Nothobranchius furzeri: one gene and its partner. The protein of the gene in region 1 purifies or fractionates together with the protein of each later gene. This does not show direct contact. Links are inferred from orthologs where the notes say so. Each region holds a gene or a part of one and is shown on either strand. Other genes may lie near its edges. The genes, in order: acad9 and timmdc1.

Region 1 (3,825 bases):
TCCTGTAGGAGAAGTTTGCACTGATGGCCATTAATGCCTTTGTGATGGAAAGCATGGCATACCTGACAGCTGGGATGATGGACAGACCAGGAGTACCAGAGTGTTCCCTCGAGGCTGCCATGGTGAAGGTTAGATTGCTTTGATATTTTATCTTCATATGAAACTAGTGTGAGACAACTGTTCTTACAGTGTCTTGTCTGTCCTCTGCAGGTGTTCAGCTCCGAGGGAGGCTGGGTCTGCTGCAGTGAAGCTCTGCAGGTTCTGGGAGGGCTGGGTTATACCAAGAACTATCCATTTGAGCGCTACCTCAGGGACTGTCGCATCCTGCCCATCTTTGAGGTACTGGATAAACTAGTGAGATCCACATTGGAATGTTCTAGCAGCTAAAAGACATTTTTTTCTAATGTACTGGTGAAACTTAAATGTTTTCAACAGAAATTATATGGAAACTGAGTTGCAGCCACCACTCAGATTTTCTTTTGCACTTGTGCATGTGTCGTGCATAGGCGAGCCAGCGACGTGATCCCAGAATGAAGAAAAATGACAACTTTTCGTTGCTGTCGCTCGGACAAGGACCAATCAGTGAAGGTTTCATTGATTGACCAATGAGCAGACAGGATGCTTCCCAGTACATTGTCGAGCAAACGAGAAGGAAAAGTTCATACTTGCAGCATCATATCCCAGAGCATTAGAAAACTTCTACAAAAGAACATAGAGATCTTCACAAAAAAGGCAGCGGCATGGGGAATTGTTTTTGATTTAGCATCACTGGCAATGGGCACCTGCCAGTAACCTCGAGCGAGGTCCAGAGTTGTGAGAAACGGGGGTGGGGGGTGGGGGGGGGCTGCAATGCACATAAGACGCAAACTTACATTGTAAAGAAGGAACATGAGGGATTGTCGCCCATGATAACAGTTCTGGAGGGTACATGTGTTGTCAATGAATTGAGAGTCATAAAGTCCACGCCAACAATTAACTCACTCACTGCCAATGACGACTAAAGTCGTCATTTTAGATCCAACCGTTACTTTTAAACTTGAAATTTGCCCCCAAAGTCGCTGCCGGCTTCTGATCCGCCGTCCTTTTGAAAATACTGCGGTGTGTTATGGGTGATTTTTGACCAAGGCTAGGCTACAAGAAGACACCTCCCGTGTATCCTCGCTCAGCTAGCTAAACGGCTAACAAACGGAGAACACACCCCTCAGTAGAACATGAAAATTGGAACACGTGTTGGCGGCTCCCGATGACGTATCTCCTAGGCAACTGGGGCGGGGCCAAGATATCAAGGCAAGGCATTGAGAAACACCCAGGATAAAAGGTTGTTGCTGGATTATGACATCATTCCTTTGCAACCAACAAAGTCTTAAAGTGACACAAACCCATTATATCTGTTACACAGCGCCAGGGTAAAGCCAATAGAAGGAAAACACTGTACCCTTTAGCAGGACTATAACTTCAAAAGTTAGTCTGTGATAGTTTTTCTCAGTGAAGCACAACCTTTGAATGAAATTACCCCTAAAACTATCCTACCAAATGTGCTGATAAAAGTTTTGTTGAGCCCATCCTTGAGAGAAAAAATTGTTCTGAATGTATTGTTTGTGTCCAGGGAACCAATGAGATCCTGAGGATGTACATTGCTCTGACTGGAATGCAGCATGCTGGGAATGTCCTCACTAGGAAAGTAAAGTATGTGTCTATAAGGCCTTTTCCACTACTCATTGTGGCTTGACTTGGCTCGGCTCTATTCTGCACAGTTTGGGTGGTTTTCTTTTACAACTTTTCTAGTGGGAGAACTCGTTGTAGCGGGTTGGCACATTACAGTCACAGGGATATGTAGTGGTAGTTTTGTCAGATGCCAGCTGAAAAACTCTGGAGTAACAAGTCACTCTTGACGGTTTTAGGCAGAAAATCTAAATTCTTAAGATTAACTAAAACACAAAAATAATGACTACAAGTGTCTACAGCTCTATTAGACATTGACTTATTTATACAGTTTATCAGCAAAGAAAAGTTCATTTGGGGATGACTTACTCTTTCAAGGTCAACTGTACTCATGTTTAAATACACGTGCAGTGGTCTCTAGTAGGAATGAATGCCTTATAAGTTGTACTTTGGGGGGAAATAAGCTCAGATGTGCCTGTTTCAGGAACTAGAAGTAAGCCACCTCAGAGGTAAGCTTCAGACGGCATGATTTGGAGTCTTATAGGGAGCCTAAGTCACGCCTGTCTACTTCCGGAACATGGGTCACCAGAAGAATTAAAAATTATTGCTTATTTTCGAACAAGGGGAAACATTATTTTAGGTTTTCTGTGAAAATGCAACCAGGACTACAAATGCGCATCACCAATATGACGTCATCGAACCAGACACAAAGAAGGTCATTATACCATACCATACCAATTTTATTTATATAGCACATTTAAACACGGCATGAGAGCCGACCAAAGTGCTGAACAAAACACACAATAAAAACAATCAAAAATAAAAACTAAATCCATTAAAATCAAGTAATCCAACCCTAAAAGGAAAGGTAGAAAGGGAATAAGTTAGACAGAATTAAAAGCCAGAGAATAAAAGTGAGTTTTTAAACGAGACTTAAAAAGGGAAAGAGAGGAAGAGAGTCTGATCGGGAGGGGCAAGTGGTTCCAGAGCTTCGGTGCACAAACTGAAAAGGCGCGCTCCCCGCGGGACTTACAGCGAGAGCTAGGGACATGTAGGAGGTGTTGGTCAGCTGAGCGGAGAGATCTTGTAGGGACATATGGGTGAATGAGCTCAGACAAGTAGCCAGGTGCTAAGTTATTTAGGGATTTAAACACAAAAACCAGGATCTTAAACTCTATCCGGAGATGGATGGGGAGCCAATGGAGATTTGCTAAAACCGGAGTGATGTGTTCCCGCTGCCTGGTGCCAGTCAAGAAACGAGCTGCTGCGTTCTGCACAAGCTGAAGTCGAGCGAGAGTGGAGGAGGAGATACCGTACAGCACTGAGTTAGAGTAGTCGAGACGGGAAGCAATAAATGCATGGACAACTGAATGAAGATGACGCCTTTTTAAAATGGGCTTAACTTTAGAGAGACGCCTCAGGTGGTAATAACAGGTCTTAACTACCTGGTTGACATGAATGTCCATTATGGTTGTAAGTTCAGCGAAATTCAAACCCTGCTTTCGGGGAGAAATAACCATCATAAATCTGGTCATGTGGCAGCTACGCTAGGGGAGAGGAGATTTTGTGGTGACTTCATATATGCGACGTACCAACGATTGATTTGTAGACATGCTAATTATGAATTTTTACAAGCCGATAAATCTCAAAGTACGTGACTGGCGTGGTTGAAATACACATTACTTTTCATTTAAATTTAAGTACAACATATGTGCGATTCAGGGCTTAAGGGAAAGCAGATTTAAAAATAGCTCTTTTAGCCCCGTTGACTTGCATTCATGTTTTTGTTCTTCTGGAGACTCGTGAACTGACTGGAAAGAGAGGATCACCTCACCTCCGCCTGGACCAGTTTGGAAGTGTTCTCATTTAGATAGCCTTGGATTTTCCCGCACGCAACCGGATGTCTTTTCAGCCCTCTTCCTGAGGCAGTCTGCCTGGAGCTAAACTGGTCCAGCACGCATGCTGCTGACTGATTGTCTGGCTCAAAATCATGCGTAGCAATACGGGAGCCTCGGATTGGTAAATAGGATCAGTCTGCCGGGGCTTCCTGCATGTGCGATTCATTATCATTCTGGATGCATGGAGCTAGCGACCCTCTGACTGAAGCTGTTTTTCTCTGTCTCTCACTGCTGTGAGGAGCGCACATGCACGCATGCACACACA
Region 2 (3,925 bases), on another chromosome or scaffold:
ACCGTTTTTGTCTCCTGCAGGTATTTGTTTAACTTCCGCGGCGTGGCGGCGAGTTTCCGCCTCAAGCATCTCTTCCTCTGTGGCTCGCTGGTTTTCCACGTGGGAGACACGTGGCAGGAGTTCTTCTACCCTCAGCTGAAGCCCTGGGTGCACTACGTCCCCGTCCAACAGGACCTGTCCAATGTCAGGTACGTCAGCCACCTTCTTCTAACGTGTCTCTTTGTAGGGACGTGATTGAGAGTCTTCGTGTCCTCCTGTCCCCAGAGAGCTCCTGCAGTTCGTCAAAGAGAACGACGCCGTCGCTCAGGAGATCGCCGAAAGGTAACGGACGAGTGAACTGTGAGAGAAACACGTTTTCTAGACACGTCAAAACCGAGTTCTGTGTCTGTTCCTCCCCACAGAGGTAAGGACTTCATCCTTCGTCACCTGCGGATGGAGGACGTCTCCTGCTACTGGGAGAGACTCCTCACAGAGTTCAGCCGGCTTCTCGCCTACAAACCCAGCAGGAAGAGCAGCTACAAGCAGATCATCCAGAAACCCAACAGAGCCGAGCTGTGAGGGACTCGGCACCGTGTCCTCACCGATGCCAAAACCTAGATAGAGATAGTTTTAGGTGAGAAAAGACTTCAGATGCTGCTGTTTCTTCATTAGGGGGAGCTACCACATACTCAAAGAAAGGTGAACTAGACCAATGAGGCTGTCAGGGTGCATCATGGGAACTTCCTACATCACAGTATTGAGTTTTATTGTCATTTATTTACTATATTTGGTTGCTTATGTGAATAAATCAGTTTTTATGACCATTAAACCACAGAAATCTAATAAAGATGTCACACACCGCCTCCTACTGTACAACTGCAGCTGAATGTTTAGTCTGTTACAGAATAAGACTTTAGGATGTTCAAATGTTGACACAAAGTGCTAATAACGAGCAATAATTTTAGATCTATGTGTTTGTTTTTACTCTAGTTTCAAAGAAACTTGTGTCACTTAAGTTTACTGTATTAAATAAAGGAGTTGAGGGTAAAAGCAGGATTAAGTTGAATATGTTGTAGTATTCACGTTATCCTGTCAACCACGAGGTTCCCACTAGTTTTTTACAAATATTAGCCACATCTGTGTTCCTGATTTTGAACAAATAAAGCTGCGATCAAGTTTTAGTTTGATATCTGAAGTTTTCTTATTACAGTAAAACCATTAAACACGAATTCTGCAATGTGTTTTTATAATTAATATGGATTTACAATTTCACTGTTTACCCTTTACTCAGATTTTGTATCTATGCTTGTTTTTGTACATACTGTAGTTTTCCATGGTGTTTGGAGAATAAACATTGTAAAATTGCAGTCAACATTATTTTTTTAACTATTACGCTTGTTTACACAGTCTGCTCTACAATAAATAAAAATTACACAAATTTCTGCAATTAAGTTGCTTTACACAAGTAAATTTAAAAAGTATGGACACATTTTCACAACTGATGAAAAAGAAATTCCTAATTCATGTTTATGTGATAATACTACTAAATAAGTACCTCAAAGTTTCAATTCAAGAAATAGTTTATTTTTCTATCACAGTGGCAGAAATGGACTCAAAAGGCCCAAGCAAACGTTTTTACTTGGAAAATTTAGAACCATTTATCCTCCTGACCACCGGGGGCGCTAGCTCTCCAATGTTCGCGCAGCCGCAATGCGGTCAGATGTCATTAGCCGCTGCAGTCTGTTGGTCCTGGACAGAATGGACATGTAAAGGGCATGCATGATGATAAAAGTTTTGTCATTTATAAATAATATTTAACCGAACCGCTTTACTCAGTTAGACCGACACGTCACTGTTGACGAGTAACTGAACGCTCGTTGCTGGTAAGTAGCTGTTAGCCTAGCTAACATGCTAATTGTTGCTAACATCTGATAAGCTTAGCTTACTATAAACATACAGCTTACTATAAACATACTTGTTACTAAAAAAAATTCAAATAAAGAGCTATTTTGTGATTTTAAAATACACAGATACTCATTTAAACATATTTAGTGCTGCAGTTTTTACTGTTAACCTGCTAAAACCTGGACATTAGAGGCAGGTGTTCAACTTTAAAGGTTATTAAGTCTACTTTAAGGTGCGTCAGCCCTTTTGGTTTGATTTTTTTTGTAACCTTTTGTGTATAATTCCAATTTCATCTGCACAAATGCTGCTAATAGCAGTGTTTTCATTCACTTAGTCCAGCCTTAGGTATTATAGAATAAACAGGGTTCCCTTAAAGGCGATACAAATGTAAGAAATGTGTCTTGAATAACGGCTGTTTCAAGACTTGTTTTCTTATTTTTGTTCAAATAAACCTGTCATGTATGCTGCCGGGGAGAAGGCAGGAACATGCAGCAGTGTCTGACTCGGGTTCAGGGGCCTCAGGTAGACCTTGGCTCCTCTGCTGCCCCATCAGTGGGGGGGGGGTCCAGGAGGGGGAGGACCCAACCTTACCTGGATGTCCTATGTCATTTATAATGCGGAAGTTGTGCAAATGCATGGATGGGCGTAGATATTCTGCTGGGTTGGTGCCCTCGGACTCCGTGAGGCTCTGTGATGCTGCTGCTTTGGGCCCTGGCAGGATGGGCTGGTGTCTCCATGCCCTGGGTGGCATTTTGGCAGCAGAGGTGCCTATTGGGGCCAGTGGGGGAGCTGGCTTCCTGGAGGGCTAAGCCCAACCAGCCGTTCCTCCCCATCCCCACACATTTCTCTCCTCCTGCTCCCTCACATCATCACACAAACATGCACATAGGACCTTGGGGGGTGGTCAAGTCAGGGAGTGTGGGTATGGACCCCATTTCCGCATTCCTGTGGCAACCTGCCCCCCAATTTTATTTGCACCTTATACACTTCCACCAACGACGTTCCACGCAAACACACACTTAGGGCCTTGGGAGTGAGCACTAGTGGTGTGCATCTCTACCTGCCTCACGATTCGATCCGATTCCGATTATCTGCCTAAAGATTTGATCTGAGTCTGAAATGCATCACGATTCTTCATGCAAAAATTTTCTTTACTTAATAAAAGCAGTAGAATAGTTTTCAGTTTCTTTTTGATTTCGAAATCCCTGAAAAACATAACATTCATCTATTCACTATAGTGAGCAATAATGTTTAAAGTGTGCTGCCTATAATTACTTAAATAATATAAGAAATAATGTTTTCGGTAGAGCAGCTTTAAGATAGAATATTACTGAACTTAAAAATAGTAAACAAATACTGTATTAAGTGATTCTTTCACATCCAGGATCCCAAAACTGAAATTAGCCCAGCCATCTGATTTAAATGTAACGGGTACATCTTTGATTACTGGTAATATTGGCCCTGTATCCTTGTCCACCTTTTCTGTTTTAAATTGGAGCTAGAGCAACGCAGTGCGCATGTCATTGCAACTCTGCCCCCAGAAATAATTGTAAAACCTCCAAACTTTATTGTCCTGCATAGACATAGACCAGGGGTCGGCAACCTGTTCCCATCAAAGAGCCATTATTACCCGTTTCCCACAGTAAAGAAAACACTGGGAGCCACGGCGTTGTGGGCGGGGCCTACCCTCAGACAGCAGAGAGCTGCTCACAACAGGTGACAGCAGTCGGTGCCGGTCGCTCGTGTACGTCAAAGTTCTCTTACATAAGACGATAATCAATAAAACGATTTATATAAAGTGGATCCAGAAGTTGTAGCCCGTCTCTGCCTACAATATTTAGATATTTTTCACCCTGTTGGTGGTTTTACTGAGCAGGTGCCACTTTTGTCATACGTTTCTTTTTAAAACATGTTTAGACTGTTCAGAATACAAATCCAGGCTCTGTCACGTTTCATTGTTGTAATTAAACTTTGTAGGTGGGGAAGGTCAGAAAAGGATCCGATCATTTTGTTTTTCCCTCATTTACAGCGACGGAGATAA

Evidence for each region.
Region 2: the proteins of acad9 (region 1) and timmdc1 purify together in Homo sapiens (affinity purification with mass spectrometry; 3 studies listed by BioGRID and IntAct, counting the BioPlex papers as one, with this or other methods). This does not show direct contact. The link is inferred for Nothobranchius furzeri from reciprocal best matches to the Homo sapiens genes ACAD9 and TIMMDC1.

Annotation. Positions count from the first base shown.
Region 1 is NC_091743.1:6,045,266-6,049,090, forward strand, and holds part of acad9 (complex I assembly factor ACAD9, mitochondrial), read left to right. Parts: intron 1-8; coding exon 9-128; intron 129-210; coding exon 211-339; intron 340-1,606; coding exon 1,607-1,686; intron 1,687-3,825. UniProt on the Homo sapiens protein: As part of the MCIA complex, primarily participates in the assembly of the mitochondrial complex I and therefore plays a role in oxidative phosphorylation.
Region 2 is NC_091754.1:55,555,886-55,559,810, reverse strand, and holds the start of timmdc1 (complex I assembly factor TIMMDC1, mitochondrial), read left to right. Parts: upstream 1-1,721; 5' UTR 1,722-1,862; intron 1,863-3,925. Other genes in the region: poglut1 (protein O-glucosyltransferase 1), read left to right, coding at 21-188, 265-321, 402-558.